Styela clava: one gene and its partner. The main gene of each other region encodes a partner of the protein of the gene in region 2 in a complex. Links are inferred from orthologs where the notes say so. Each region holds a gene or a part of one and is shown on either strand. Other genes may lie near its edges. The genes, in order: COP9 signalosome complex subunit 5-like and COP9 signalosome complex subunit 7b-like.

Region 1 (17,786 bases), about 11 Mb from region 2:
AACAGTAGATGTGGCTTGGCGGTGCATCGTGGGTTCACAGGGTCGAATCCTGTGCGGAGTTAAATATGTGCCAGAGGATTGCTGTACTGCTCGCCGCAGCAGGGTGGTTCACGTAACCACTGGTCGGTTATGGCTTCCTCCAACATCGGACAAAGTCCATGAAACAAATAACTGACCAACTAATCCCATACCCAACCTGTACTGGTAACCAGATGAGAGGTCATGGTTCGCCATATGATTAATCCGTCTTATCGGCTTTACTTTCCCCTGATTAAATATGTAAATCTATGTGATAAGTACAAAAAAATAATATTGAATGAGGCCTGAATATGTGTTAACTCGACTAGAATTCAAATCTCGACCCACATTTTCAACACTCAACTAGCCTTGTTCTGAGGAAACAATACACAAATGGCATCACCTGCAATGAACTCCAAAATCTTCAATCTTACTGAGAGGAATTGTTTGATATTCATCAGGGCCTTCATCTGGTGGTTTGTAACCCTGAAACAAAAGTGTGAATCAGCTTGGCCATAGGGAATGGTAGCAACATCCATGGGCTTAGTTAAAGGGCCACGTTCTAAAATTTCTAATTGCCCAGTTGGACCGTGACAGCTAGCATGTGAGTTTTTAAAAAAGTCTTGGGTTTAAAAAAACATTTCAAGCTACAAATAAATCGCTATGTGAGATACAGAAGAATGCTTTTTTTTTACATTTCAAAAATGGGAAAAAGGGATTTTTTCACTTTAAATGTGCGGTGGCAGTTCAGAACAGACAATATTGAACAGCTAAATATACCAATGTTTTTTAGCAGATACCTTTATAAACACCTATATTGACAATATTGATACATTTCTCGTTTCGACGCTCTAGTCTTCCGAGTCTAATTCATAACCAGCATGAACATCATAGCTCTACCTTAGGGTATGTCCTGAACGCTCCAATATTAACTTTCCCAGCACTGATAGTCCATGTTGGGTCAATTACTATCGCTACAAACGGATCTTCGAATTGCTGATTCAACATCTCGGTAGTGGTATTTTTTCACTTCAAATGGGAGGGTTAGGCGTGATGGTTAAGAACAGACGATATTGAACAGCTATATATACCAATGCTTTTTAAGCAGATACCAATATAAACGCCTATGTTGACAATATTAACACATCTCACGTTTTGATCTCGTCTTCTAAGGAAACATATTAAAAATGGCCCAAACAATTTAAATCATATCTTTACCTTGGGGTATGTCCTGAACGCTCCAATATTAACTTTCCCAGCACTGATAGTCCGTGTTGGATCAATCACTATCGCCACAAATGGTTCTTGGAATTGCTGATTCAACATCTGGGTATCTGAAAAAAAAATTTGAGATTAGAGATTATTTCTTGGAAAACTGATACTAATAGACCTTTGGGGGGATAATTACTCTTCCTGAGCCAATTTCAGATATTAGAATGGGTTACTGAGTGGGAGGTTTTTTTTATAAGAGCATGATGTAACAATTGGGGTCATTATGACATTCTTTTCGATGCTCCCGAAGTATGCGAACCAAGATGGCGGACATTGGAACGTAACATGGGTAACAGGTTAGGGTTAGGCGATATTTTTTTTCCAATTTTCCTTATTTTAGTCCTATTATCAGATCGAAGACTAGCCAAGAGCCTCCCGTAGTATTTATACTTAAAATTATGGCCTAACCCTAACCTAGTACACATATTACATTCCGATGTACGCCATCTTGGTTCGCATACTTCGGGATCCCCTTCTTTTCATCAATATTTTCGACGAAAATTTATATCCATAAAAACTATAGTCGAAATTTCAGCAGGCACAAGCAGGCAGGATTGGGCCTCCAGAGTATTTAACGAGAAAAACAGTAATTCTATACTAAATGAAAAATGAAGCACTCCTAGTATATAAGTCATTAACACAATCGACTAATTGGGGACTTCTTCCAACACCGACCCATAGGTACCATATAAAACTTACCAACATCAATACCAGAGAGCCAGCAACCATAACCTGGATGGCTATGATACCAACCGATCACGTTCTCCAGTCTGCCAACCTGGAAAGAGAAAGAATAAGATTGCAATTATTATCAATGGTGTTTTCAAATTTTCATCTTTTTTGGGAATGAATAAAATGTGAAGTATATATTTTATAGAATACGGAGTGTCGAATAATTTTATTGTATTAAACATAGATGTCCAGTGAGGCACAAGACGTAATGCATGCGAGATACGTCGTAGAATATGTACGATACCACGTCAATACCACAAAAACATAACTCGGAGAGGAAAATACTAAAAAGTCTGCTTACGAACACGATACGATACTTCAAAGTGGCGCAACCGCTTAATGACGGTTAGTTTAAAAATGAGTAAATGCCTTTTCGACAACAACTTATGTTAAAATATTGATCAAATTTGAAAGATTTGGAATTTGTACTAAGACCTGAAGCGTAATTTTGTTTCCTGACTACTAATTGACTAGTCAAATATATAAATGTGACTCCACACAGAATATAGTATAGGTTACGTGTTCAGTTGAGTTTGAGATCTCTGTTAATTTGATATAACAGCCAAGGATCAGAGAGGTTTACCTGTACAATTTTATTTCTTCCGACAATGTATTACAATAATCAGCATAAACAAATTACACTTCTATCTCTTAAGGTTAGTTGTTAGCTGTTAGCTGATGAGATCATATTTATAAGGTTTCACACTTCAAACAGTCTTTGCTCGATACCTCTAGCAAAATCCATGTACAATAGGGGTGATTCATCATATCACATGAGAATTATTCACTTGCGTGCAATATTTAGGTCGAATTCTTTTGCTAGAACTCTCTAGAATTTATAATATTTTATGACGTCAGAAATTATATTTAGCATTGATATAATCCATCCAAAATTATTGGTTAATTTGTTACAGACCCACCATCGCGGAAATTGAGCGGGGATTCAATCTTTTGTGCAAGAATATGCTGACACATCAGTCTCATTAACAATTTGTCAAGTTCAGTATTTTTTTTAAATTTTGTGTAATATTAAATTTTGGTACTACTGAAGTATGTGCAGCAAGATGTCGCATAACCTGAACCCTAACCTGGTACACAACCAGAGTTCAGGTTGTGCGCCATCTTGGTGCACATACCTCAGGAGGTCCTATATTTTACTTTTTTTTTATTTTAGTTCCTTCTCGTAAGTCGCAAAGAAATTTGGCAATGCCAAGTGGGTGGTGAAAAAAGCTCTTGAAAAACGCTGACTTTGACCATGATCACAAATTTTCAATCTAATATAGCAGGTTTAGCACAGTTACAAACCTGTTTAGCATTATCAACATAGGCTGTCATGTATTCGTATGCAGCGGCTTGTGCGTTGACCCGTGTCTCTGTGCCCTCAACAGGAAGTGCAAAACAATCCATCACGAGCATGTTTGGGCCATCTATCTTTCCGAGCATCAGACCCATAACCTAAATAGTGTAAAAAAGACATGAGATGGGTGCATGAACTGTTCTTATCGATGGTATTCTATTTGCTGTTGTCAAGACGAAAAAGTGCTTTTGTCGTCAACTAATAGAACATTCGACCTTCAAATCGTCAGTGACAAAGGATGTAATCATGGGCGAGTAGCCAGGGGGGTTGAGGGTCGAAACCCCCCATTTTTAAAAAAAAGACTCTTGGAACCCCACGTTTCCCGCTAGCTGGTTTAATTTGACAATGATGAATTTTCATAACCCCCCCCCCCCCCCCTGTGAAAATTCTTGGCTTTGCCTTTGGATGGAAGTGTCCTTTAGAAGGGATATAACTTTTGTGTTTTACAATACCTATTGGTATCTCTATGGTTTGTTGTCCAAGTAATAATTTTGCATGAATTGAGATTAATTCCCTGTCAGTAATACAATGAACTTAAGTACCGTATATTTGAATTTAAACGTGTCGAATACACATATGACTTATAGTCTAACTTAACATTGCTCCAGAATCTGTGTCCAAATCTGAATTCAACCTGTCATCTTGGTCATTGAAGCCACAAGAACAGCAAATGTAGACTTACCTCCAAATTCTTGCCTGACCTGGCATGCATGACCATCTTCAGTAAAGCCAGTGCAGATATTTTACTGGTTTTAAAATAATGCGGATCCTTTGTCCATGGTTTTGCATTTAACATTTCTTGTTGCTGTTTCAGCTCGTATTTGTAGATTTCGTCGACTGAGTGAACAATCTAAAAATGTTTTTGAATTAGTTAGTGTCGCCAGCTCTGGTGGCATAGTTAAAGTGTTAGAACAGCTTCGCAGATTAAAATCTTGATTCAAGCTGAAACAAAGATTTCGGCTCTTCCAAATAATGGTAGCTCTTCACATATCTCTGGCTGTTTGTATAGAGCGAAGGCAATATTTCAATACAGAAAAATATGAAAATTGTAAATGTCCATATTCAGGAATCCAAATCTTTAAACTTTAATCTCGGCCCATCACCTCACCCAGGGGGTTAATAAATTGGTACACAAAGCTGCCAGAGAACGGTTTCGGTCGTTCCAAATGATGGTAGTTTTTCACACATAACCGACTGTTTGTGCAGAACCCCGTCCAGAGTGGAGGTATTCAAATATATCAAAAAAAACATTGCTTCATTCGCAAGATGTCAACAGCAACATCAAAACTGAAATTTAGACAATCTCTTAGATATCTTGTCACTGAATACTGATTAATAACATTGGCTTGTTTTTGCAGGGATAGAATATATAGAACAAGCATTTAAATTTAGCTTACAGTACTTTCAGCACAGCTGTTAAAAAGTTGGTGGCAAAACAATGATTTTGAAGAAATAAACCAGTTTGCACTAACCAATTCAACAAAATATTTTTAAAATAACTCATAACAAATTTGCCATTAGTGAAGTACCGTGGTTCGCCATATAGTTAAGTCGTGTTATACTTTTTCTACCCCTATCCTATTCTAATAGTAATTAAAAAAAAGCGCTCACTTCCATATTGTTTTGCATTTCCCAAGTCTTCAAAGCCATCGCAGAACCCGAATTTAAAGGCTGGTCTGTCTTTGTAGATGCAGCTCTAGGACAAGAATTTATTTATCAACGAATTTGTTCAGAGCTAAAAGTCAGGAGAATAGCGATAGAACAGTTGCAAGTCACCACTAACATGTTAAAAGATGAAGTTTTCAAATTCATCTCCAGGGGAGGAAAGACGGAAAGAACGCTTTAATGATATGGCAGAACATGGGCCCTTGACATGCTACCAGTCTATGCCAGATAAGGGAATAGTAAACCAGATTATTAGTTTTGAATGAATGAACTTGGTGTAAATATATATTGATTTAGCACAGTTCACTGATTCCAAGAATAGCCCCTACTTAAAAAACATAAATCATAACAGTGATTGCAAACACCTGATTTATGAGACAGTCAGGGCCTCCATACTGGCAAAAATTAGCACTGTGCAACAAAAAGAGAGCGCAATCTGAAAACGACATCATTGGATTCCTTGAAAATAAAATTATCCAATTTACAAGAGGAAACAAATTTTATCGCAGCATACAAGAGTTCCCAGCAGAAAACGGGAATTTTGGCTATGTGACGGCCGACACACCACACATATCATGATTGATTTAGATTACTATTGAGACAAGCATGACACGATCTGACGCATCTGCCGTCATGCCAGACGCCCTCGTTTCAAGGGCAATTGAGTTTGTTTTATTGAACTTAATGTCGGGACATCTTGGATTCGGAAAACTGGAGTCTCCTAAAGTACGCGCCCTCAAGTACATCTAGTGGGCGTAGCATAACGATTTTATTAGTATAATATTCCTAACCCCAACCTGAGTATGGCACCCAAAAATTACATCACTGCGCCGTCACAATCACGTCATAGAGCTTGCTAAAGTAGCTACAATCGTCCGAAATGGCATCTGTGCCGACTATAATGAACTAACAGTCACTAACGTCAGCGATCTCTCTCTTATTGGTATCGTTTTGATAAGAAAACGAGAGAAATAGCCAAACTCGATTTCGGATGATTGTCTGCGCGACCATTCGTATACTTTGTCGAGCCGTATTACGTCACTGCAATGTAATTTTCGGATGACCTAGTCAGGTGGGGGTTAAGAATGACATATGCAAAAATTGTTGAGCCATGCCAGCTAGAAGTACTTGCGGTGTGTACTTCAGGAGACCCGAAAACTGTCCCCTACTGTACAAACATGGTGATGGTGAAGTACTATTATAACAATTCTTATGATCGTATGAGTCAGTTGTTAATATATCTCAACCAGAATTGTTTTATTTTAATCGGTGTTTACTTAAGCTCCTTTCACTTCATTTATAAACCCTTATATGTCCACCATTATTAGTTGTATGAAGCACATCAAAGTCCTTTTACCTAATTAAATACCAGACTTTTATAACACACCCTATATCAGTACATGGGCTTAATCTTGAGACAAGGATGTCAGGAAGTTGACAAAAAACAATTCGACACTGTCAAGGATGATATTCGCTCAGTTGCTTCCTAACTAAGGACCATTGAACCGTAGTACGTCAGAGTAATGACAACTTAATGACCAAAGACTTATTCTGCTATTTTTGAAGTCAAAATATCTCTCCTTGCAAGTCAAAGCTTAGCACAATACGTATCATGGAAAATTTTAGCAATCTGGAACGCAAAATCAAAGACGAAATGCAACATGGGACGAAAAACGGGTAAAACACATCGCAAAAGAGACCTAATATTAGTCATCTTTTACAGTTATTTCCACAAGTAAGCATGTAAAATGAAGATCCATTTATAAATAAGATAATAGAAGCAATCGTACCCCCCTTCTGATGACGTTCCAGGTTTTTCGTCCGACATTGTGGTCGAATTACTTATACAAATTACGTTTGCAAACACGACTTCGTCGATCCAGTACAAGATTACCAAATGCAGAGGTTTTGCTGTTGCCAGATACAATAAAGAAGGGCTGGTTGTGCGAGGTTTGATAAAGAATAACAATATCAATAATCTTTTTTTCCACGTTTTCAATAATGAAGTATTTAAGTTGTAAGATGATTTTTATTTCAAAAATGAAATTTATTCTTTGTGTACATGAAATATGATTAATATTTACATGGTATCATCTGATTATGTGACATGTATTTCACAGGCCAAAGAGTTCAAAGATCATAGGTCATATTAAAATTACTGACCCCGCATCCTTACATTTAATTTTTATAATAATTTACCTCCAAAGAGGATAGCGCCGGCCAGAGAGCCCAATAGAAAAATTCCACATTGGCAATGAAACATAATTTGGCAAAAAAAAAGCCCAATCGTTTGACAAACTCGTCTTCAAACGGTTCAACTGGTAATTCGTCCAAGGCATATGGGCATACATACACAAATCACAATGGTCGGGAGCCCAGATCACTTTAATTGGGCCCACGCAAAACAATATGATAGGATTTACATATTTATCCCAGGGGAGAGGAAAGCCGATAAGACGGCTTAATCATATGGCGAACCACGGCCTCTCGTCCGGTTACCATTCCAGGTCGGGTAAGGGATTAGTTGGCCAGTTATTGGACACGTAGTGGACATAACGATCGTTTCAATATTATGTTGTTGTTGTTGTTCTTGTTCTTTGACACGTTTTCAAAAAGTCGCTTTTCTCTTCGAATACTGGACCAACTGCTTTGAAATTTTCAGTTGTTGAAGATAAAATTTTTCTCCAGAAGGCTATTACTTTTTCGCTATGACGTCATCAAAGTTATTGCCATTGGGTGGCGCTACGTGTCCATATATTTGAGCATAGCTCTCTTGTTTGTTTTCGGAAGCATGGACTTGATGGTTTGAATCAATCACTGTTATTACTGCTGAAATATTTTCTACATTGTATTTTGTTTATAATAATAGTGTTGACTTCGTTTTTGTCGCAATATATCTCTTTCTCTTGGGCTAATCTGCCACGGATCGAATTTCATTGGTACGTAATCGTATCAAGTCACATATCTGACCTATCCATATACTTGCCGTGCAACTAGAACGGAGAGAAAAATTACGTTTCTTCAAGTTTGCATGTGACAGCGTACCATGCGGTTTTTATTTACATTGCATTCGTCTCTGTAATTATTGGACACGAAATGGACATAACGATCGTTTTGTTATTGTTGTTCTTTGTATCGTTTCGGAGAAATCGCTTTTCTATTTGATTACTGGACCAATTGCTCTGAAATTTTCAGTGGTTGAAAATGGAATTTTCCCCAAAAGGCTATTACTTTTATTTTTTGCCATGACGTCATCAAAATTATGTGGCGCTACGTGTCTGTATATTTGAGCATATCTCTCTTGTAAAATTTATATGAAGCCGTTACATTTTGAGAAAAACAAACACACATTTAGTGAGGAAGATCGTATATGCGAACCATCAGTTTTCATATTGCTGTACTATATTTCCGTGCTCGTCCCTGCAGCAACATGTTTTGGCTCAATTTTTAGAATGTGCTCGCCTACATAATCGTTCTTGTTATATTGCTATTCTGAAACACCAAGGTAAAATGACTTTAAATTAGGTTGGATTGTTACCCAAACTACATGAAAAGAACCTAGTCTATTTGCTCATTACCTGCCTGTCTACAAGCTTTGTTTGGAGCACATGCGTAAAACACCCCCAAGGCCCCAAACGAGGCCGCCTTCTTTGCTATTCATAACACTGTGTACATACCTTTGTACATACTTTCACAAAATACAGCACTAGCTTATAAAAATTCAACATGTATATATATTGTTAACTATTCAAATATATAAAATGAACAAAATTCAACAGAAAATACCAACTAAAAACAGCAGCAACATATGATTCAAAGTAAAGTTACAAATACAGATTTCTAGAATAGAACGAAAATGGAGTTCCTCAGCATTGTGAGGGAGAATATATCGATCCAAAATTTGAGAGGAATTTATAAAAAAAAGTTTGTGAAACACTGATTTAGAATCTCAGGCATATTTTTTTCGATTTATCGTCCAGCGGTATAATCAGGCTCGGCAGTGTGGCTCCTTGTGCTAAGCATTTGATCTGATTTCTCTGCGTGGGTCCGCATGTTCGAATCCCAAGCGATGATGGTTATGTGCAAAAGGATTGCTAGACTCCTCGTCGCCGTAGGGTGGTTCACATACCCGCTGGTCGGTTAAATATGTATAAGTCGGGATAAATATGTAAATATCTGAAAATCGCAATAAAGCTGAATACATTTAAAACTAAAGGAACACTATATGACTGAAAAACTAACACAAGATTTAAAAAAAAAAATGTTGGTTAAAATAAGGAAACAACAAAAATATTTCTAAATGAAGAAATATGGCAATTACAGAAAAAAAGATTTAAATATACTTTCTCAGGTGCAATGGAGAAGCAGCTCGAAAAGTTAAAAATTTAAAGCATGAGAAAGCATAAACTTATCCCAGTCAATAGAATGCAATACAGATATAATGTTAAATATTATTAGGCCTTTTTATTGCTTGTCTGTATCACCATACAGTTCTACAGACTGAAATGGTCTGAGCTACTGAAACAAATAAAATAATAATGGCGCGAGTCAAGCAGCTCAAAAGTAACTGTATTTCAAGCCAAATGCTTTGATAAAACTCGAAAAATTATTCAAGATGTCATCCATCTTCCTTTTCTTCTTTAGCGATGAATAACAGTGGGAACATTCCAACTATACAACCGATCAAAATTCCAAATGCTTTGCCCTGAAATTGAAGAACTTATTATGTAATAATGTAGTAAAACAATTCCAAAGGGCCAAATAGTAAAGTCGAAGTCAGGTTTACTTTTCCCAGTCACTAAAATAAATAACAATACCAGTGAAGAGACCAAGCAATTCAAGATTCCTGTTGCACACAAACATGAATGTATTTCTGTAAGGTTTCGTCTGTGTAAACTGCTTGTCTGAAGAAGTCTGATTTTGGTCAAACGAAACGTTACAGAAATACGTTTGTGTTTATGTGCAGCTGGACTCTTGAATTGCATAGCATGGCCATGTTTATTCCTGCTACAGCATCCTTGCAATATACGCATAGGGATCCACTAGGGCAGGGGCGTTGAGGAAGAGTCGGTTAGTCGGAAGTTAGTCTTGTGTAACTTCTACTGATAGTTATAGTAGCGAAGAGAACCTTAGATTTGATCTTGATGAAGTTGCTATCATTAAATTTATAAAATGCTCTAAAAACAACTGCTCCAGGCAAGAATTTCAAATTGCCGTCATCTTGTTTTTAAACCAACACAGGTCGAGGTGAATTCCTCAATTTTTTTTATTGAAGCCATATTTTTACTCTTTTACCGACTCCTTTATCTTTAGTGAGTTATTAATGAAACATGTTTCTAAAACTGTCTGAAACTATGAAAGTTTTCAGTAAATTATGTGCCCATCACAATAAAAAGTCACATACAGTCGAATATTTCCATTTTCCATTTTGAAAAATTTATGTGATTCTGAAATCCTCAGGTATTCAAAAATGCCCAGCCCCAGGTGGGTGAAATGTTTAAATCCGGAACCCACTCACACTAATTCTAAAAAAACAGAAACTTACCGCATTAGATGAAAAAATAGTTGAATTCTGCTCTGCTTGTTCCGGTGTTAAGGCAGGTACTGGCAACCCAAGTTTATAGAAGAGGCTTTCAACATATCCAGCCAATCTAGAGTAAAGAGAAAAGCTTCGTGTTTATCCCTGTATTAACTAATATTTCTCGCACAATAATAAACCTGTGCAGAGGCCACATTATTCATACAGGTTGGCTCAGTGCAAGAGGTCGACCGTTCCAGCAATATTTGAAAAATTACTGATAGAGGGAGGGTTGCAAGTAACCAATGGAGCATAAAAATCTGCGCTTCAGAAGTGTATGCACCAATATGGAGGTAATTAATTTAGTTCGCCTACTTTATGTCAAGTTGTGTAAAGGGACTGAAACCTATGAGCAGGGGGTATATTCATTTGGCTAACACAGATATTCCCTCAACTCGTAATAGAACTAAAACAAGGAAAATCGTTATACAATTATTGCCTGACCCTAACCTAGTTCACACACTACGGGGGTAACTAAAAACCTGTGGCACAAGCCATGACTGCCCTAGATATGCTACTGAATGCATATCACATTGCATATGGTGTTACTCACCATTTTTGTCAAGACTTGTGAAAATAATTTGAGCGAATTTTCACAGGAAAACAAGCTTGGTTTGATCCAATATATGTTAATACAAATCTTGGAACCAGAAGAATTCTGTGCAGAGGTTTTAGAGAGTATATGTTCAATATTATATTGTCAATAATACTTGATAAGATATTGAGATTTATTAGTTTGTCTTGTGATATTGGTCACAATAATATGGAACCATGTTTTTAAAAATTTTTCGCTACATACACTCACACACAGAAATACAGAGGACCCATCTCTTAGCAGAGTTTTGGACAATCACAACAGCTATATGCATCCACTAAGGAAAAAAGAAGACCAGTAAATAAATGACAAAAAATTGAATCTTGCATAAGTAAAATCAGCTTTGCACCTAGCATTGTGGCCCTCAAAACCTCTGTTTTGGAGCAAAGAGTATCATTGCCAAAGAACTTGTCGCTCCAAAATTTTATTTCTTCAACATAAAGCTCTTACCCGATCCCAGCAATGTCTGATATAGTGTTTCCAAGCGCAGCAGCTGGAAAAAATTGTCAAAATTTTACACTTGGTTAACCAAGCAGAAACTATGAAAATTTGTTCGTTAGACTAATCAATTAGATTTTAAAAGGGTTTGTCAAAATAATATACCCGCTGAAAAAAATAAATTTGGCGGAACTATATGCCTGATTATTCTTGTCATTTTGTTCTTGTTTGTTCTTTTAAAGCAGGGTGTCCAAAACATAAAATATTCCAAAGCGGGTATATTTGATGTAAAATATTAGTTTTATATAGAACAAAACTTGAATACTTTTGTTTGAAAATATATTCATATTGGGCACTTAGCATCTGATGGCCAGACAAAAATCAAACATTATTCAACAAAGCTGTGAAAATGGAAAATCAATCAAAACAATAATTATCTACTTTATGATAAGTGATAACCATAGACATCAATCATTTGAATATATATTGGCAAATCAATCAATAAGAAAATGGTTGATCATTAAAACTAAGTTCGTTAGAGAAATCACACAACTTGAAATAATAAAATCATAATGAAAGATCTTAATGTGGAGGGGTATTTTGCCATTTATCCTGGAAACGAGGAAAGTTGATAAAAACAGCTTTTTCATAGTGTGAACCTGACCACAGACTCTCATCCAGTTGCCATCAATTTTGTGATTAGTTACCGGTAACTAGTTGTTCCTTTAATATAAATTGACTTAAATGAATTTTCTTTTTGATGTTCGTCAGGGCTTCCCAAACTGGGAGTTGCAACCTTGCAGTGAGGTGAACAACGAATTTTAGGGATCGCAAAGAGCATCAATTTCACCAAAAGTACTATGTCTATTGTACCTTTTAGACTTTTGATTCAAAGCATAATTATAAAAACCAATGCAAAACATAGATCTCACGATTTCGAGAGAATACATGGGACCAGATAGGTGGCACGCTTGCAAAACAATGCCGAATTATCAGGGGTTGTGGAAGATTTTAATATATTGGAAGGGGTGGCAAGCTTAAAAGTTTGGGAATCTTTGATATGCCCATGTGCACCACCTCGTACATCTGTCAGAAGCTGGACAAGCAGTACAGCAAACAGAACATCTAACCCTAACCTGGTGCACACACTACGGGGGTAACTAAAAACCTGTGGCACGAGCCATGACTGCCCTAGATATGCCACTGAATGCATATCACATTGCATATGGTGTTGCTCAACATTTTTGTCTAGGCTTGTGAAAATAATTTGAGCGAATTTACACAGGAAAACAAGCTTGGTTTGATCCAATATATGTTAACACAAATCTTGGAACCAGAAGAATTCTGTGCAGAGGTTTTAGGGAGTAGGCTACATATCCAATATTATATTGTCAATAATACTTGATAAGATATTAAAAATTATTAGTTTGTCTTGTCAATCAATCAATCATTTATTCGTCGTCACAAAAACATCAAATGCACAAAAAATTGGTACAATAAATAAATATAATAATAATGTTATTTGTGCGACAGTCGCGAGGGACCTTGTTAGGTCTTCAAGCAGCGACACCTAAAGCGCTGTTACTGGTTCAGTGTAAAAAAATAACTACATTTGCTACAAACATTGACTATGCAATAGTCGTTATGATAAACGAATCATTGAAAAAATTCGCAGCAAACGCAACTTTACTAAAATCATATAATAGAGAAAAAAAAAGAAAAACAACTCAAGTATAAATTTATAAAAAAGGCATATTTGGATAAATGTATATAAGTTACATAAAAGACAAACGACAAGCGAGGGGAAAATGGTTACACCAAAGACAAAATTGTAAGTGATTAATTGAATAGAAGTTGGTAAGCTTTAATAAATCATAAAACGTTGATATGTATATATATTTATATACAATACGCTCCACAGCAAGTGGGCATAAAATTTACGAAAGAATGGTAGGCATATGCTTGCTCAAGAAATTGAAATATAACGAATTTGGGCATTTTAGTGTAGAGGTTGCACCAAGGTTGGTAAAGTTAAAGTACCGGGTACTTTAGAAATAGACTCCTTACACCTATAGTTCCTCCGGCTTTTTGGGCAGCCATGGCGACAGTCTACAAATGCGACTACTGGGCTATGGACAGAAGATGGCGAATCATACTGAATACTCCAATCAATGGCTGATGGAAGAGAGATAATAACTAATATATTTACTTTTTAGATATAATTTAAAACCGTAATAGCCTAAAGATTTAATGGTAGGCTACTTGGTAAGGCATTCCACAGTTTCACACCAGTGTATTTTATGGATTTCTGTTCTGTGTCTTGTGATAGTGAAGCAGGCATTTTATCTAACCACAATAATATAAAAGCATGTTTTTTCGAAGCGAGGTTACACACACACACTCACACACAACTTGAAATAATGAAATCATAAGAAAAGATCTTAATGTGGAGGGGAAAGTAAGAAAGTATTTTGCCAGGCACAGAAAATTTCTCATCTGAGATTTTTTGGACACATTATGGATCCACTTTACAATAATTATAAATCATCCATCCCCACCTGCCATTGTAGAAATCCCTAAGGTAACGCCAATAGTCAGGTCAATGTATTCCCCCTGGAAAACAAAGAAAGTTAATTCAGTGAAGAATCCAATTATTTTAACAAAAAAGTGTCTCATGGGAGTGAACTAAAGTGAGAATGGTCGTAACTGGATTAAGGCGGTTTTAACAGAATTAATTGGTCTGAATAGATCAACAATTAACTGACTAAAAGATGTTTCTAGTAATTCAGCGCCGTATGATTTTTTCTGATGAATTATTTTTGTTCAAACAATAAAATTACTTATTGCCAACAGGAAAAATAGCTTTCAAGCATTTGAAATCTTGGAACTTTGCATTTGAAAATTTGATAATCTCAAGGTTTATTTCAAATCAAATATCTATGAATTCACAATATCTTTGCTGAACACGAACTAATTAAAAAGATATTTGACAAAACTGGCTCAATTAGGCCCCTCGAACCAACAAAACAAAATAAATTACCGCCAGTATCATGATTGCATTATCGAGAAATCCAAAACCAATAAACGGGATACAGTTGTGAACGAAAACTGAAACACAAGAATTTACGGCTGATTATTGGGGTGACTCATCTAGCAGTGGACATGACATGATAGTCTCATAATAAGGGTGTTGGCCCTAACTACTTTGTACTCCCGTAGCATGTGAACTATGATGGCGGACACCGGTACCTAGTATGTGTACCAGGTTAGGGTTAGGCCATAATTTCATGTACATATACTATGAGAGTCACCTGGCTAGTCCCCGAACTCGTAATAGAACTAAAATAAGGAAAATTGGAATGAAATTATAGCCTAACCCTAACCTGGCACACATACTACGTTTCGGTGTCCGCCATCTTGGTTCACATACTTCAGGAGAGCCAACTATTTTGACTAATTTTGTTCTATGTGTTATTGATTAAAATATAGACGCCATGTCCTACTGGTTTACAGGGTTTATCCAAATATTCTAACGACCCTTGATATTTTGGATTTTTAATTTCTGAATGCAATATAGTCAAGTTATAGTGGCTTCGTGTGAAAGTTAGAGAATCATAGAAATCAGTGATTGCTCAATTTATTAACAGTGGGAAAACATAATTTGAAATCTTATTGATGACAGATGAGTATCGCCCTGTTAGTTCAGAATCTCTTTATTCAAAGCCATAGGCCGTTTTTGTATTTTCTCTCTAATTACAAAGACCCATTTAATCTGGCTTATGTCACGCAGAGTTTGGGCACAGACACACTTGCATTATAAATAATAAATGAGCGCGGCTTTGCAAATTGCATTGAGAGGTTCATGGTTGCTGTATAGTGTTGTTTAATAAGTTAAGTGAATGTGAGATCATGTTTCTCACAAAAAATCAATCAATATTTCATCCAATTGTGTTCAGAATTTTTTTTAAATTCCCGAATAACGTGGTCCACGCAGTGTTTTTCAAATTTTTCGTGTCAAGGTCTCAGAGGATGCTAATAAATACCTACGCTGGCCAGCAGATTATTGAACTGCAATTAGGGAAACAAGCACATGATGTGCAATTTATAATTTCTATGACTTCATCGAAGTGAAAACCAATTCCAACAAGCACAAAGTTTTGAGAAAAATAAAGTTTTCTTTATTGTGGCATGCTAATAAAGTCAAAGTTTGTGTGATGACACATTGATTTTCTATTAATATGAAGATGGAGTCAGAGATAAAATCATTTTTTATACATTTTTAAACGGCTGCAAATTTTCCAGACAGCATAGCCCTGGATTTAATCCAGCAAATGGAAATCACAACACAATGTTCATTGGTGCCTAAAGAACATTATATGAGATATATCTTCTACATTTATTTGCTGACAAAAGTTGACTCATTTGGGCAATAATATTGGCACAAAATTATAAAAAGTAAATTCCACTAAGTGTGAATATTTTATTCCATCATCTCGCAATAATTTCCTCGTGCTACATATACATTTATATTGACAGAAACACCCAAAACCAGGACGCAAAGAAGTGTTCATTGAAGCATGACGACAGCAATATTCATTGAAGTGTAACAATTATTCTGCAAGACATATCTTGCGCATTTATTTGACAATAGTTGATTTAAGCGCATAAATATGAACATGACAGGGCATGAATAATTAATGTCATGCATAATGGGAAAGTAGTTTTTGAATGAATTTCAGAATATATGAATTTCTAATTGAAATTGATATAAGCTCTCAAGGGTCAAGCATATTAGAGGTGGGCTAATTGCGGCCATGGGATGGAAGCGGCACACCAAAGTGTTTCATCACTTCACTTGTGTCTGCTGAAATTACGACTATAGTTTTCATGGATTTAAATTCCCGTATCTACGAAAATAACGTCATAATGACCCTGATTGTTACATTGTGCTTCTTATTATTTTATAAACGTTAGCCTAGCTGTTGTAAATAAACTGTTTTTATTGATAGTTTTTAATATAGAGTTTTGAGCCAACGGCCCAGTAACTATGTCTGTTATGTATAACTGGCCCATCCCTGATCTATGATGCTTTCAACCCTCAAACTAGGCAAGTGCTCGCCAAAAAATGTAGAGCTTTAGAGATCGAATGACAAGAAAACTTAACGTCCCGACTAAGCTCATGCTATATTTAGCCAGGCACAATATAAAGCAGTGGTTCTTAAAATTGATTGACCCAAAATTAGAAGCGAAAGGATATTCGCGGGCCGAATAAAGAGCACACACCCTCAAACTGCGATAATGACATAACAATTGGCGGTATTTGGTATGTAAAATCATTTCACGAGGCCCACGGAACGCGGTTTGGGAACCACTGCTATAAGATATCATTTTCATCCCAAGGGAGAGGAAAGTCGATAAGACGTCTTACTCATACGCCAACCTTTATTCAGAAATCAAAAGCTGTAGTCAACAATCTTCAGGACTAGCAGTAGTCATAACAGTTGTTATTGCATTAAGACAGACCACATCATGCATAATTTATGGTGTGGCATCTAACTAATGGCCTATTTGTGATGCCACAACATTGAACTAATGCAATTGGATCATCCTAATGGAATGGGACATAATGGACTTTTGTGAAGAACAGGATAAAAATCGAGGGTTTGAATCCCATAAAGGTGGGCCATTTCATCTTAGTGCAATAAACAGGTGAACGAAAAATTTTGAAACATTATTAAACATGAATTTTTATAAATCCGAAGTCCGAAATTTTTGTTTTTTTCAGCTTTTCTCGAGTCTCTAAAAGACACACATGTAAAGGTAAAATTACTCACCAAGATATAACTGTCGCTTGGTGATCTGTCCTGAGTCCTCACCTGGAAATAATATATACATTTACACTTTATAGCATCAAGCTTAAAATCACAAATTGAAAGTCAAATATAGGTTTCCCTAATTCTGCCTTCTTGGAAATGGGAGACGTTCCTTCCCAATCAAGCATTTTATTGTTTGCACTGTATTACGTTTCAGAATTACGGGTTCCCTACGTAATAGAAATAAAATGTGACTTCATCAACTTTACATTACCAGGAAATTTTTTTTAATATATGAACATTTAATCATGGAAATAA
Region 2 (16,545 bases):
ACTATCTGATCCAGCACACCGGCTTAATGAGGCGCACAACCAATTTTTGAGAAATATAAAAGTATTCAAAGTGCGCTCTATGATCTGTAAAATACAATACATAATACAATACAAAAAACGAAAACAATACCATTTCGACTTTCCATTTTCACGTTTGTTGTTACTATGACCTGTAAAATAATAATAAAATAATGATATCGAAAACACTATTAAAGTATTATCCATAATAAAAATAAAGTACAATCACACATCTTACTATGTTTGTCCCTCAATAAAGCAAAATTATAGCTTATTCAGAATAGAATACTTTCAGAATAGACTGAAATTACAACAAAGTTAATCAATTCGGTATGAATATGATAATATATGTACCGTAAGTATACAATAGTGGTCAGGTCAGATTTTGGTGCACTTGGCAATGAAGAGCTTTCAAGAAAATGGTAAGGTTTGGGGTTGTCTTAAACAGCTGCTTTAAATGCAGCTAAGTCAGTGAATCATGACAAGTATGTTATACATAATTCATTTAGTTAGTTTTCAAAAATAGACATTGTATTTAGAGCAATCGAACATCAGTCATACCTGAAGTTTTTTCATCTTGTAAATGTGAGGAATGCGAAAGACATACCGGTAGTGCATCGATCAATTTTTTACATAAACCTGTTAAAAATGAATCATTGTTGCAAACAATTTCAAAACATTGATCACAAAATATTGATAAAGCTGCTAGTATTTTTGTTTAAATTCCATACTGAGATGAAGGACCAAAGTAATTGGGGAATGAGAGACACAATCACCCTAGTTAATATGTAAATTAGACTCGACAATTGGCATCAGATTACCCCGCACGAGTCCGAATTATTTGAGTATAATTATGAGTGAGAGGATTGCTGAATTCTACAGTGCCACATGACGACTTCCTCAACCACCAAGTCCATGCATCTGATATGACTAATCATCAACTTTCTGCTGTTATAGGAGATCCTATCCTGTTATTAAAAGTTTTATTAAAAGACCAGGGGTGTGCAACGGCCTGTGGGCTAGATGTCTGAAGTTGGTCCCACTGACAAAAAATGTTGCACACCCCTGCTTTAGACAATAAATTAATAGAAGCATTCATAAAACTCTTATGTAAAAAATATCTTAGAATCATCATAGAAAAACGCAACAGCAGAATTTTCTTGGTTTAAAAAATCATACCTGTAATTTCGACATCAGTTGCATAGGTTTTTGGTCGTAACAAATCACACAAATATAAAAACGATATGATGAAAATTCTGGTGTGCTCTTTTCTGAAATACAATTTTAAAGTTGACTAAATTATTCTTTGCTATATTAATAAAATGCATCCTATATGTGATTATTTTGAGTAATGTTCCTTTTCAATTAATACATTAATTCATATATTCATTCGAAATTCATATATTCTGATAATATTCAATGTTTATTATGATGTAACAATTTACTAATGTCAAAAGAGAGGCCTGGTCATCAGGATTGATTTTCGTAAGAAGTCAAATAAAGCAACCGTGCTAATAACCTGTATTCTTCAGAACTGATCATGTTTTCCAATGCATCAGTTGGTATTTGATAGAAATTTTTCTTGTTACGATCAAGAAGTTTTTGTAAATTTCCATCAGCACCATCAAATCTATTTTCAGCTTCCAAACTGTAAATGAAGTCATATAGGCGTGGAATTGAATGAATGGAACAGTAATACAATGATACCTCGGTAGTCGAACATAATTCGTTCAGGATTGGTGTTCAACTACCATTTGTTAGAGGACCGAAACCTTTTTTGCCCAGGTGTTCGAGCTTCGAATATTAGTTCAAGTACAGCAGCATTTCTGACTCAAATTTTTTGGTTGATTACTGAATTGATAAGGTGCAACTATTGAGTCGCTCAACTACGAAGATATCACCGAAAACTAAGTGTAAGCCTTGAGTTACATGGTTAATTCAAGAAGTAGAAGAATGTAAAAATTATCTACCTTGATCATCAATTTTCCATAAATATTCTTTTAATACTCATATATACAAGGCACATAAAGAAACATAGAAGGACCATGCTAAATAACTGCATATAGATAAAATCAAATTGTAATGTTTATAACCAGTCTAACATACCATCTGTAATAATAGTAGGCTGCAGTCAATCCCCACCATGTATGATGACCAGCCAATGTGCCGAGTTGGTTGAATGGCATACCAATATTTGGTTTCACCAGCAGTGCGAGCTGATAAAATCTTTCAGCAAAAGATCTTGAACCTCCGTGCTCCACTAGATATCGACCTATTAAAAAGAGAAATTCTTAAACTACTGAAGAGCAGAAAAATGTTTGTTTTTCTACTATCAGTCACATAGAATAATTTAAAATTAAGCTCCCTCGAATTGATATAAATTCCCATTTTTTTAGGTCTTCCATATGCACAAGGCTCTACACACACAAAAGTCACTGCTCACAAGACGTCATCTTCCATCTATCCTGTTCGGCATTACCTACTCCAGGGGTTTTCGAACTTTTGGTGTTATGGAGCATGTGCCTGTGCTGTTGACTAATATCTCCGAAGCCCCACAATAAATTTATAACACATTGATTTTTACCATTGATGTTCCTGAGTAGATTAAAATTACTTTATTTAATGATGCGGATGTATTTATTGCTTCTTTGGATAGTTACGAAATTGCCAAGTCAGTATTTTAATAAATAAACAAATATCTCACGGAGCCCCTACCCCCTAGGTTTATCCCACAGATCCCTGAGGCTCCATTATGGAGCACTTTGAAAACTTATGACCTTCTCAATTTATTTGACCTTGGGTGAGGTGATGGGCAAGGAATTTGAAGCACATATTTTTAACCGGAGATGCCAACATAGCCAAGCTCAAAGCTTTTAACTACCAGGCAATCGCACCCAAAGAATTACTGTAGGTTATAAAAAGTTACAAAGATGTGAAATAAAACACACTTCAACTATATTTCAAGCACAAAACATTAAATCAACACTCAAATTGAATTTTACATAGATGTAACAGATAAGGAGTCAGCTTGGATTGCTACGGGCATGGCTAGGAGACATATTTACTTTATAGTATATAAAAATACCAAAACAACAAAACAATTCTGATTCACTTTTAGTTGCAAACAGATCAATACAGAAATCCAAAACTCATTCATCAAAGAGAAGAAAAAACCAACCTAGATCACCAAGACATAGGAGGATTCGGTACGATGTTTCCTGGGCCCATTCATCAATTGTCATAACTTTTTCTGGAGCATCTCTATCAGCATTTTTTGATTTTTTGCTCAGAATAGTATGAGATTTTACTTTTTTTATTTTTGAAACATCTTTGTCCGTTGATGGTTCATTGACTTGTTTTGCTGATAAAATGGTGACTTCCCTCCTTCTGCAAACAAGAATGAATTTGGAGTTAAATATTAACTTTATTATATGATAGTGTTCATAATTATGGGTAATTCAGATTTAAATCAACTTCAAATTCGAATGAACAAAGAGAACCAGGCCATATTGGAAAAGAAATGTTATTGCATCCCCATCAAACAGAAAATCTTGAACACTTTTTTTTCCTTGCCTTACACTACCATTTTTTATGTTTGAAGGTATGTGCATTGTGTTCGTAAATGATTTTTATTTGACCAAGTTCTAAGAACTGCTTTCATTTATTATCACCGTAACTTATTTACCATACAAACCTTTTATATTTATCACTCAGAGGACTGCTTGCAAATGGCCAATCGACGGCAATATGCGGTTGATACTTTGCTTGTAGTTTTAGTAATAGATGATGATAATATCCAATTGCTGCTGACAAGTACTCTTTATATAAAAGTTCCAATCTACTACCAGATTTCATGAACTGAAAATATGTTATATGAGTCGATGTCGATTTCACTGATTTGTGACAAAAAAGCTTGAACAACATAATTAATAAAAAAAAAATAGTTAAAAAAATAATAGACAGAATGCCATTTTGTTGCTTGCAAGTTGCAACCCTCAATTGATAGCTAAGAATCATACTATCTCGTGACTAAATTTGCATAAAAGAGCGTGGATGCGTAATTTGACACTTTACTGCAAAAAGTACCCATCACACTATTACTGCTGGCCTTGTTATAAATTTGGCATAAGATTACACAGTAACAAAGCGACTAACAAACTTAATTTATATTGTAGCAATCTTTCTCGCATATAAAAGAACATAATAGAGCTAAAACATCAAAATTAATAATACTGAGATATTTCACACAAGGCTGTGATTGCTCTATACGGCTTGTCTAAGTACCGGTACTGTAAGTCTAAGCTTGGTTAAATTTTTTGAAAATTTGATGCAAGAATTTTCAACAAGCCTAAAGAAAATTACCAAAGTATTTTTTCTCAGTAATGAAAGACAAATATCCAGATGCTAGACTCTACTTAAATTTAAAATCTGGTTGTCAAATTATCTAAATTCTATACCAGTGTCAACGTAAACATTAATAAAGCTTACCTTCTTATTGCTTTTGACAAGTTGAATAACCTCATAATATACTTTTCTCCAAATCAACTCTTCGGCTTTTCGGCCATATTCTATGGGATGTGAGAACATGAGTTTTTCACATGCATCTCGGAGTTTATGTCTAGGATTGAATAAATTGAGTAAACAGTTAAACGAGAATGTGTAACAAAAATACGGCATCTCAAGAGTGGGTATTTCAAATACTGTTATATACATTTCCTGCAATTTCTTGAATGGGAAAATATATTTGACTGCACAAAATTTTCTTCTTTTCAAAACAAATTGTATTTGTCACCAAGTGAATAGCAATCTGACATTTTTCCCTCTTGCCGATCCTTATGAACTACATTGACCTATTGGTGGAGATTATGTCACTGCAGTGCTTCTCTTTACAATATATGACATGATAAAGCTTTGTTGAATAATTATTTGGCAAATAACTTTAGAGTTGATAAACTTGGCTAAGGAGCTATAACATAAGACTGAGACACCTTCTGAGATAATTGATTGACAAAAACCTATTATGTGTGTGATGATAGACTTGAATACTGCATAGTATTGCATTGCATTTTAAAAAGGATTCCGATACACATTCATAGGCATTAATGATTTACTTAAGACAATATAGAGCTTCAATGTTGGTTGTTGGTGTACACAGTAAACATTAGAAGAGAAACATATTCTGGTGAAATAAAAAATTTGATTTGTATCCATTACCTTAAGCCAACTTGCTCCGACTGAAAAACACTCATTAAATTCCTCCTGTGTTGTCGACCATTTTCTAACCTGCGTGCATACTCCAAAACACCTCTGAATAAAAAATAATAATAATGGTTAAACCACTCAATGTATATAGAAAACACATGTCAATATAACAAGGCCAGCACAACTGTAAATTATCCAGGATATAAAATATAACAATAAATAAAATCGCACAGCATCTCAGTTATTTACATTAATAAATCACTAAAATGTTATAACGCTGCCTTAAAATGTAGTTGACACTCTTTGGCATACAACTCAGTAAGTCGAGCAAACAGTACATAATAGAAACTGATGAAATTGGCATACTTATGATTAATTGACCAAGTATATTTATTAAAACAATAATGTTTAAAAGGGATGACATTAGAAAACCCAAATAGCAAGACAACTTGGTGTAATTTATGAATTTCAGTGAATGCTTAGGGAACAAAGATCACAGACAGGTAACAACGACAACAAAATAAAATTTATTGTTAGAAACGTCTCAGAAAAAAGAAACATTGAATATGAATGAAACACTAGTTGAGTAAATAATTACATTTCCAAACTAGTTAAAACTAATATGATAATATTTCTAGTATTTTACCTGTAAAGTCTCCTGGCTGGTATATTCTTAATATCTGTAACAGTTTTTGAAGATGTTCTAGTATCTGTTGAATGTCGTGACATCCTGTTTTTATATCTGCCTCTTCACAGTTATTTCACTCCATTCTGTTTGTTTGATCTCAACAAATCTTGTCAGTAAATGTTAAAAATTGTTTTGCTTCATTGTTGTTGATATTCTCTCCACTTCACGCATGCTAGCAATATTAATTTTTGTTCACTATATTTCTCTCGTTTATTGTATAACAACAATATTTCTATGTAAAAAATAAAAGAAAACAGAAAATGCATTTAACATATTATCACCAGTTAACACAGAAACACTCTGACCAAAATACTTGAAGCTCAAAAAAACACTCTGGAACTGAAACATATATATCGAATAACTGACAAACAATTGGTAGTGCCAATTCAACATACTAGCTAATTGAAACATGAAAATCTGTCAAAATATTCAAAATTACTAATTTTCCCAGTAAATTAATTAGTCTGGCCGAAGAACTTGTGTTTTATGTTAAAATTTCAAAATAATATTTGATATAAACATCATTTTTGAGTCTAATGAATTAATATATAGTCTGTTGCAAATCCCGAAATACATTTATACTGCAATATAGATGAGGGGATACTTACCACAACGTTTTATATTGATATACATCGAGTGAATACTTGGCAATTCTAACTAATGATTTCATATAAAATTTTGATAATTGGTAATGATAACCATTTTTTGACTAATTCAGCTTCAGTTGTAAAGCTTTAGCATTTGTGCAAAAAACATTGTTTAAACTGTGATAGTTTCAACAAATATTGTGATTTGAAATATAATACAGCTGGCGCTTTCCTAAACTTTGAACTTATATTAAACGGAATAAATTACATTGAAACCATTAAAATGCTATCATTTGATTGAAACATAGAATTTAGTAATGAAAAAATATCATGTCAGTTTTTCGATGACCATAGCTTATTAACCGCTTGACTACCCCTGAGTCCTTTGACCTTAGACTTTTTAGGTTTGTTTTCAACCCCTGCAGATGGCATTGGGTGGGATGACAAATTTTTGTCACTCGAAGTAAGTTCCATTTCTTGCTGTCCTGATGCAGCTTTGATAGTTTTTCTTATATTTGTTACTTCTTGTTCAATCTGTTGTTTTCTTTTTTGATCTTCTTCTAAAAATATATTTGAAGATTTTACTTGAGTCTGAATTCCTTGTAACATAGTACCACACGCATTGCACCATGATTCCAATGTCATTGTTATATTATCCAAATCAGCTGGTCGAATATCACGTCCAATTGTCCAGTCAACTTCAAGACGAGAATTCTGTTGATCAAGTTTGCCACGAATTACGTTGGAGTAGATTGCAGAAATCAGTAAATCTTCAAGCTGTCTTGTATTCGACATAGCTAGTTCTTCAAGAAGAGTCGAATAAGGAAGATATTTGAATTTTGTAGCCAATGTTGCGACAGTCAAATGCCTTAATTTATCTGTCATCATAGGTGTTAATTCTGGTAATGTATCTTTATCAGCCAGATAGTCTTTAAATATGCCATATGCAAAAATTTTAAGCAGTGAAAAGTATGTCTGCGCTGTTGGATCTTGCTCCAAAGCCTGAATTGCAGGGATTTCAAGTAATTCACCAAAGAAATAAACATCTCTTGCTTCCATTGCTTGCTTAATCAATTCTTTCAAAGCTGAACCTTTGGCAGTTTTAGCAAGAATCAAGAACTGCTCCAACTGTTGATTTGTGTTGAACGTCCCAGCAGTAACTTTGGTGGAATTTCCAGTGACGAACTCCTTCTTCAGAACCATTTCAGACATCTTACTGGAACAATCAAAACCAATGAAGACTAGATCATTACAGATATAAATAAGCTAGAAAAACCGAAATAATAAGATATTTTTAGTGCGTTGCCTTTCCCTATATTTCTCTTTATTTTGAATGTTTTTCTATTGCCTTATTAAAATAATATTTCCTTTCCCATGTAGGTTAAATATTCATTATTTATCAGCCTGTGTTAGTATGGTGTTTTAATTTATGTCAACAGACTGGTCAACCATGATGATTTCAAACTCTGGTGTGAATACTATCCTTAAATGCTCATATCTATAATTTCCAATCATATACATACAGATAATAAATGTAGCTATACAGAGCTATGTCATTATTTACAAAGTTTTCTCTCGCTTGCTGCCTGGTTTTTGATAAGATTAGGTGTCTAATGGATTTTCCTCTCCTACAAATAAATAATGAAACATGAAATTCATTTCCAGAATTGGCACTCCAATTTCAGAAATTTAGAATCTAGGCACAGATTACAATTAATTCTAACTATTGTTCTAATTGAATTACAGTGGAATTCATTATTTATTTTTTTTTAATTTTTTTCTATACACAAGCGAATTTGAATTATTTGTATTTCAATTCCAATTTTGGGTAAATGATTGATAGAAAGATTTTATTTCAATTTATTCACAAAATACCAAAATCCAGAAGATGAGGGCAGAGGACCTGGGAAGTGCACATACAAACATAATCTAATATTAAGTTTAAAACATATCAAACAATTTCAACCACCAAAGAAAAAAAAAAATCACAAACCTTAACAGATTAACATAAATATTGATGGTGGTCTTTACTCAGACATTTCATTTTGTAATCCCATTACATGCGATTCATTTTAAAATTAAACTGTGAACTGAGTAGCTGCTGTGTGTGATAATCGAGGTGGCATGTGAACAAATATTGAAAAAAATTCCCGAATAAATGTAAATCAAGAATCGAGAAAATTTCTAGAATAAAGTATGAATGCATGTCACATCAAAAATATAGGCTATGCAGTGATTATCATCTGATTGTACTATCCAGCTATCTGTAATATCGACCGAAGGTTTTAGTAAAACGTCCACACAGACACAGCTACAAAACTGTAAGAACGATTGTGAGTTCTCAAATATTGAGGCGCAGTTCTTACCACTTCATGGCAGCTCCTGCCACGAACGTACCACGCCGTCTCCTGCCATGGTTTTATGGCGCTATTACCGGTATATTTACAAATTCATGTACCATATTTTAGTTTATCATGCGAAATTATATCTACTTAAACTCTAACCCTAACCCCAAATACATCCAAACTGTATCCATAAGAAAAACATTCCAACTCACCAAATATTTATCACCATCAGCAGATTAGGGGCAGCCCTGCTATTACAGCCGACCTGCCGTGGTTACGGCAGTAAAATTGGTGGTATTCGATTTGCTGCCGTAACCACGGCAGCTCGCTATTGGTTTGTGGCAGCTAAAAAGTCAGTCGCCGTGGGTTTGGTCTTAGTGGCCGTGGTTTGGAAATCCCGCCATGGTTTTGCGGCAGCTGTAGACGCCACAAAATACTTGAAACTGCACTTGCAAATATTATACAACAGTGTAGTTGAAATTATGCACAACCAGTCCTGTTTATAAAAAGATTAGTACAAGCTTAATTTTGTTTGAACTTAACTTCATGCTTGCGTGTATAATTCACTTGAAAATCTTCCATTTTTGCATTCTGCCAGTTGTATATTTCTGTATTTTTTAATCACGTTTCCATCACATTTTTATCCATGTTTCCGTATCTGCCATTTATTTTCTTTAAGTAACTAAGATACATAAAGATATCCAGGTATCGGTATACAATTGCAAAGAAAAATAAATATGAAATATCCACACAAAAATATAGGTATCGTGTATTTTACAATTTCTTTTGCTGTAAGGCTTGGCGAATCTCCGATTGTTAAATTATAATAAGATGGCGCTGTCGACGCCACAAGACGGCGAAGAATCATTGAGCTCAATGATCGCGACCACGTATTGCACATACTGAGCTGATAACGCGCTCTCAATGCTGGTAACGCTTCATTCCTAATGCGACCTCCCTGTTTCTAATGCCCTGTACGTTATGAGCCTTTTAGCTTGTCAATGATCACTTGCAACTCTTTCATCATTGTTCTTAGACTCTACTTAGGGTGAGCGATTATTCGCTATTTGATTAAGTTTGCAGATGATAGTTTAATCTTTGGTTAACTTAAGTACTAAAGCCTGCTACCTTCGATTATATCAACAAACGGAATATACCTTTCTGATCATAATACTACATTGGATTCTGCTGAAATAATTACCTGTTCAACTCGAAACTCCACGGAAAATCAATATGAATACCGAAGTTCATAACCAGATTCTGGCTGCTGTTACATCCCTCCAGGCCAACCAAAAAGCGCTCATGCAACGCTCAGATGAGCTGTCTGCCACTGAAGACCATGGCAGCAAGTCTGAAGCTGTTAAGAAGTTCCAGCATGATGTGGCTCAAATCTCTCTTAAGATCGAGGAGATTATAAAAAGACTGGAGTTATGTGAAAAACAGCAAGATGATCAGGAACAGTACAGCCGGAGGAACTGTGTTGTTCTTCATGGCTGCAAATCTGTTCCAGAATCTGAGTACTACAAGTTTGAAGACTTTGTTGTTAACACCCTGAACAATAACTTCAATCTTGACCAGCCTATTGTTAACACGGATATTGATATAACCCATAAATTGCGATCCAAGTCCCCGAAGAACCCCATCATTATTAAATTTGTCCGAAGATCGACAAAAAATTTAATATATGGTAGGAAGAAAGATCTAAAAGGCAGCGGTTTGTCCATCACGGAGTCCTTGACCCGGAATAGGCTCAAGCTCCTCGCCGCTGCCAAGGAAGCATTCGGGAAGCATAAGGTGTCGACAATGAATGGGACTATATACGCTTACTTGGACAGAAGGCGAGTTATATCTTGTTTGAATGATATCACTACTCTCTCTCGTCCCCTGTACTCCAGGGCTGCTGCTCGCCCAATGGGACCTAGCAAATAGGCACACTGTTTGCAACTTGGTCTCATTGGTATAGTGGTGGCCTTTAGCACAGGGTTGATAATATAATTTAATTTAACTCAATTTATTTTCACCCTTATTTTCCTTATGCTAATTAGGCTAGTACTTATTTAACCATAAGTTCTGCACCTGGAAACTTTGTATTCAAGCTTTGTATTTTAGATTTTGTCTTACTTCACTATACTTTTTTTATTTTTTTATTTCATTACTTTGCCACCACCATGAAACATAATTTAAAATATCCCTGTAGAAATTGCCACAAATCAGTCCGAACTAATCAGAAAGCTATTCTTTGCAACATTTGCTCACATTGGATACATTTAAAATGCACCAATATCTCTAACCAGCAGTATGAAAACCTGCAATCTGAAGCTGATGATCTGCCTTGGTGCTGTTTCTTTTGTGAAAAAGATTGCATACCATTCTCTTCTCTCTCTGATTCTGAATTATTAGAATCATGTACTTCCCTTCATTCAGAAAAAGCTGAAGCCCAGGCACTTACTAAAATTCTTGATCCTGAATACCTAAACCAAATGTTTCTTGAGTCAGCCAATACTGACAATGATGAATTCAACAACATAAACAGTGTTTTCATGTACAACAGCTCAAATCAGTATATTTGCTCTAGTGATGTCAATGATCTCAAATTCAATGATAGTTTTAAACTAAGTGGTTTCATGACTCTTTCACTCAATATCAGATCTTTAGCCTCTTTCAAAAACTACACAAAATTTGAAGCACTAGTGAATTCACTGAATTGTAAGCCGCATGTAATTGCTGTAAATGAAACATGGATTGTATCTGGTACAAATGGCCATTTCAATACATTGGATGGCTATGTTTTTATCACTAACAGTAGATTTCATCACCGAGGTGGTGGTGTTGGTCTCTACATTCGAAATGATTTGAAATACATTGTCCGCAAGGATATTACTATAATGTGTGAAAAGGTTTTCGAATCTATATTTATTGACATATTATTGGAAAATAAAACAATAACCTGCGGTACTATTTATAGATCACCACTAACTGATGAATTGAACAATGCTAACTTTCGGAATCTCTTGTCCCAAGTTCTCTCAAAGATGAACAAGTTGAATTATAATTATATAATGGGTGACTTCAACTATAATCTTATTGATGAGTCCAATATGAATACCAGCCTATTTGTTGATATTATGCACAACCTGGCCTATTATTCTCTGATAAACTGCCCCACCAGGATAACTTCAAGTTCTGCTACCTGTATAGACCACATTTGGACAAACGTATATGATAAAAAAGTTAATAGTGCTGTTTTAGCAGAATGTGTTTCTGATCATCTGCCAATTGTACAATGCTCTCTTCTAGAAAAGCAAATTCAGAACAGAATTGAAACGCTTTACCGCCAGTTTACTTCGTCCAACTTGAATACTTTTATGAACGAACTGAATTCTATTGATATTGATGACTTCAGCAGCATCCAGGATCCCAACACTTGCTTTGAAAAATTTTTTGAAAAATTCTCTACTGCTTACTCTCAATCTTTTCCTTACAAAAAACAAACAAACAGATCAAACAAACCTTGGTATGATACTGAGTTACGTAAACTAAACAAAGTCAAACAAAAACTTTATAAGAAATTAATAAACAATAAAAACATAAATGACAAGCACAAATTACAGTTCAATGAATGCAGGAACCTTTATACTCGATTGCTCTACAAAAAGAAATCAAATTATTACAAATCTAAATTTGCCTCTCACAAAGGTAACATCAAGGCAGTATGGAAAACAATTAATGAACTTATTGGTAAAAATAAAACAGGTTCTTGTCCTTTGATTGGACTCGATTGCAGTAATACACAAATTGCAAATAAATTTAATGAACACTTTTCCCAAGTGGCACAAACCCTGCTCGACTGTATGCCACAACCAGCTGGCTGTGACAAAAATTACATTTCATATCTTGGAAAGCAAGAATCCTCATCCATGTTTTTAAGGCCAACTACATCATTAGAAATAAAAAATATTATACGCGAAATGAAGCCCAAGTCAAGTTTTGGAATTGATGGTATTCCATTCAAAGTATTGAAACACGTTCCAGAACATATCATTGACATCCTGACATATATATTTAATCTTTCACTATCTAGTGGGTTATTCATTGAAAGCTTCAAGACATCTAAAGTTCTTCCTCTATTTAAAAAGGGTAGTGTTTCAGATCTTGGAAATTATAGACCTATTAGTCTTTTACCATCATTTTCTAAGATTCTTGAGAAAATAATGTATAGTAGAATGTCAAACTTCTTTGAAACTAACAATGTTTTCCACTCTCATCAATTTGGTTTCCGCAAGCATCACTCCACTGCTATGGCTGCTAATGTTTTGGTACACAAACTGACCAAGGCCTTTGAAAGCAAACAACATGCAATTGGAATATTTCTTGATATTTCAAAAGCTTTCGACACCATTGACCATTCCATCCTTTTAAGTAAGCTCTATCACTATGGAATTAGAGGCGTCCCATTCAATTGGATCAGGAGCTACCTGCAAGACAGGAAACAAATTGTGCAATATGACAACTCATTCTCTACAAATATTTGTGTCATGAAGCACGGAGTTCCACAAGGATCTTTACTTGGCCCATTATTTTTTCTAGCTTACATTAATGACATGTCCAGGTGTCTGAAATCCTCTGAGTCGATCATGTTTGCTGATGACACTGACTTGATTCTTCATGGGAAAAACCTTGAAGATCTACTCACAGTTGCAAACCAAGAACTAACCAACATTCATAGCTGGATGTTGGTTAACAAATTATCTCTTAATGCTAACAAAACTAAATTTGTATTATTCCACCCAAGCAAGCATAAAAGTGTGAGTTGTTCAAAACCACTACTGCTCAATGACAATGAAATTGAAAGAGTGAAAGAAATAAAATTTCTAGGAGTTATCTTTGATGAAAATCTATCATGGAAATCACAAATGTTGCATGTTATTGGTAAAACAAAAAGGAACTTGGCAGTTGCTGCTAAAGTATCCCAGTGCGTTAATCAATCAGCTTTACTAGCAATGTTTCAATCTCTACTACTAAGTCATATCCGATATTGTAGCTCAGTCTGGCTCCATGGTAATAAAACACTTGTCTCGAAATTGCAAAGCATTTGTAATAATTTTTTAAGAATTGTCTTTAGGAAAAGTAAACGTGAAAGCGTAAATCATTTCTATAAATCGCTAAATATACTCAAGGTTGAAGACATAATGAAATTTGAAGTATTATCATTAGTTTATGATTTTCATGACAACTCATTGTCAAACTGCTTTGACGACATACTAACCAAAACCACCTCCAATCGAAGAAGTAATTCCAATTTATTTATACCGTTTATGAGTAAATCTGTGAGCCAGCATGCCCTATGCTATAATGGACCTAAGCTATGGAACTCTCTCCCCTTGAATTTGAAGTCATTAAAATCCAAAAAATCATTTCAGAAACAAGTTAAGTCGTACTTGGTATCCAAATATTAAAAGTTATTTTCCCATAACCACACTGATATATATACTCTTTCGTATGAAATTAGCTACAACGTTTTGATAGCTCGGACACAAAAAATATTGAACCTTCATGAATGACCATGATAGAAAGTTGGGACACTCTTCACTTGCACATACTTATTTTCATGAAAATATTAAACAGCTACAATATTGCTATTGCTCCTGCAGCTGCTGATTGTTGTTGAGCCGGCAGTTAATCTCTCTCCACCTGTTCTACATCTATTGTTGGTGTGTCGGGTTCTGTAGCATGCACAGCAAATTATTTATTTTTCAAATGGCTGTTTACACTCTGACATCTGCATGCGCATGTTCCCTTTTTGCTTAACGTTGGATTTTTGACATTACACATGCATGATCTTTGTTTCTATATGGGTGGTGTGATACCTTATGAGGGTTGTAGACCGTATAGTTTAGCTCCTGTACCTATTATTGTAATTAGGCGACCAGTGGAGATATATTGGATTCTCCCCTTCATTTTAATTTGTTGTGGTATTCTATGATTTGTTTTGTGTGTATACAAAATTTTATCCTAGGTTGAGGTTCTGCTGTGAAGTTGATGTGAAGGCCAACATACGAATGGTCAGTGTGGTTTGAGAGTTTCTGCATGGTTTGCGAGGAATTCACCCTGTGTCCCAACCATATTTCAACTCTGGTCTTTGAACTAGCGTTTTATAGATAGATAACTAATAATCAATATCTACTCGAAATAATAATTAATTCTAAACAAAAGTGTAGGGTAGTGCTGTTTCCAAATATGTAACCCTTGAATATCCTACTCGCAGATTTGTTTTCTGTTTTTCAGGTCGTTCTGTGATGATCAATACAATGGCTAGTTTATTGAATATAAATGGTGTCTACAACAACAAAATTCGCAGGCTGATGTCTCATCCACGATAAACTTGAACCTATTACGCCATAATAATTAAATGAAGAAATGATCCTGTGAAATAACAATACTAATTCCTTTATTCCTAATTCCTTTATCCTTGCAGAAGTCAATATCTAAGAATGAAAAAAAAAACCTTATAACCTTAGCAACCAACATATTCCTATACCCTGTCTTTCTACCTTAATTAATTATAATTACTCATACTTATAAAGTTACTGATAGATTTAAATACTTATTGCAATCTGGACTACAATTTGGCAATAATAGGCTCTAGTTTGGGCAATGAAGTGGTCTAGCCCACCTCTTCATGCACCCAATTCTGGCAACTTTGGTTGGGCATTTTGGCATTTGACTCCATCTATAATCAGCTTGACAATATATTTTTTTATAAAAGTTTATCTTTACTGTTCACTCCCATTTATAAAATTGATCAATTTGGCAGTGGCAATCATGATAAATTTATTAATATGGTGTGGCAAGTAATTTTTATTTATTTATTTTTTATTAACTACCAGTATGTAATTTTTCATGTTCCCTTTACTTAATAACTTCTATATGGTTGTGTGTGTGGGTGCGTGTGAGCGTGTGTGAAATATTTCAATTATTTTAGGTGAGTGAACACGTACCACATCTTCTTGGCAAAACCTTCCATCTTATATACATTCTGTACGTTTTAAACCTTATCTAAGGTTTTGTTCGCTCTCCTGATTTCATAATCAGTTTTTATTTATTTATTTTTAGCATTCATTTTATTGTTTTGCTGATTATGGAGTCGAAATAAACTTATACTTATACTTAACACGTACTACTTATTTCATCAATACCTTTCCATCTAAAATCTGTACGTTTCAAACCTTACTCGAGGTTTTGTTCGCTTTCCCGATTCTATTATCAGTTACTTTTATTTTTGTTTTTATCTATTATTTTATCGTCTATTGCTTATTATGGAGTCGAAATAAACTTATACTTGTACTTAATATACTTTCGACTTTGCATGTTACCAAACTTGGGTCGACTATCGGGTTTCAAACGAAATTAAATTAATTGTTTTCTAGCGACTTCTTTCTTTTCTCAATAACTGAAAATTTGAAATACATTGGTTGAATAATTGCTGAGAATATCAGAGTAATATGGTGTAGTACAACCGTAGTAGTATATATTTACGGTACAACGTAGGAATACAATGTACAGGTCCAGCTCCAAAATGGATTTAAGACGACCAGACGCATCTCTTTATCTGCTTTTCCTGAACGGATAATAAAAACGATTTGATTGAATGATTTGTAATACTTTACCGGTAGGCATTAACAACCGTGATCATGTGCATATGCTT

Evidence for each region.
Region 1: COP9 signalosome complex subunit 7b-like (region 2) and COP9 signalosome complex subunit 5-like share a complex: the UniProt entries of both Drosophila melanogaster proteins name them as parts of the CSN complex. The link is inferred for Styela clava from reciprocal best matches to the Drosophila melanogaster genes CSN7 and CSN5.

Annotation. Positions count from the first base shown.
Region 1 is NC_135257.1:21,453,587-21,471,372, forward strand, and holds the start of COP9 signalosome complex subunit 5-like, read right to left. Parts: upstream 6,988-17,786; 5' UTR 6,873-6,987; coding exon 6,835-6,872; intron 5,076-6,834; coding exon 4,991-5,075; intron 4,230-4,990; coding exon 4,062-4,229; intron 3,478-4,061; coding exon 3,328-3,477; intron 2,069-3,327; coding exon 1,990-2,068; intron 1,353-1,989; coding exon 1,237-1,352; intron 505-1,236; coding exon 422-504; intron 1-421. Other genes in the region: transmembrane protein 65-like, read right to left, coding at 9,663-9,749, 10,590-10,695, 11,668-11,710, 14,214-14,268, 14,696-14,763, 17,490-17,531. UniProt on the Drosophila melanogaster protein: Probable protease subunit of the COP9 signalosome complex (CSN), a complex involved in various cellular and developmental processes.
Region 2 is NC_135257.1:10,602,551-10,619,095, reverse strand, and holds COP9 signalosome complex subunit 7b-like, read right to left. Parts: upstream 7,761-16,545; 5' UTR 7,708-7,760; coding exon 6,829-7,707; 3' UTR 6,138-6,828; downstream 1-6,137. Other genes in the region: nonsense-mediated mRNA decay factor SMG5-like, read right to left, coding at 131-170, 580-657, 1,198-1,289, 1,538-1,666, 2,125-2,290, 3,197-3,405, 3,713-3,876, 4,507-4,636 and 2 more. UniProt on the Drosophila melanogaster protein: Component of the COP9 signalosome complex (CSN), a complex involved in various cellular and developmental processes.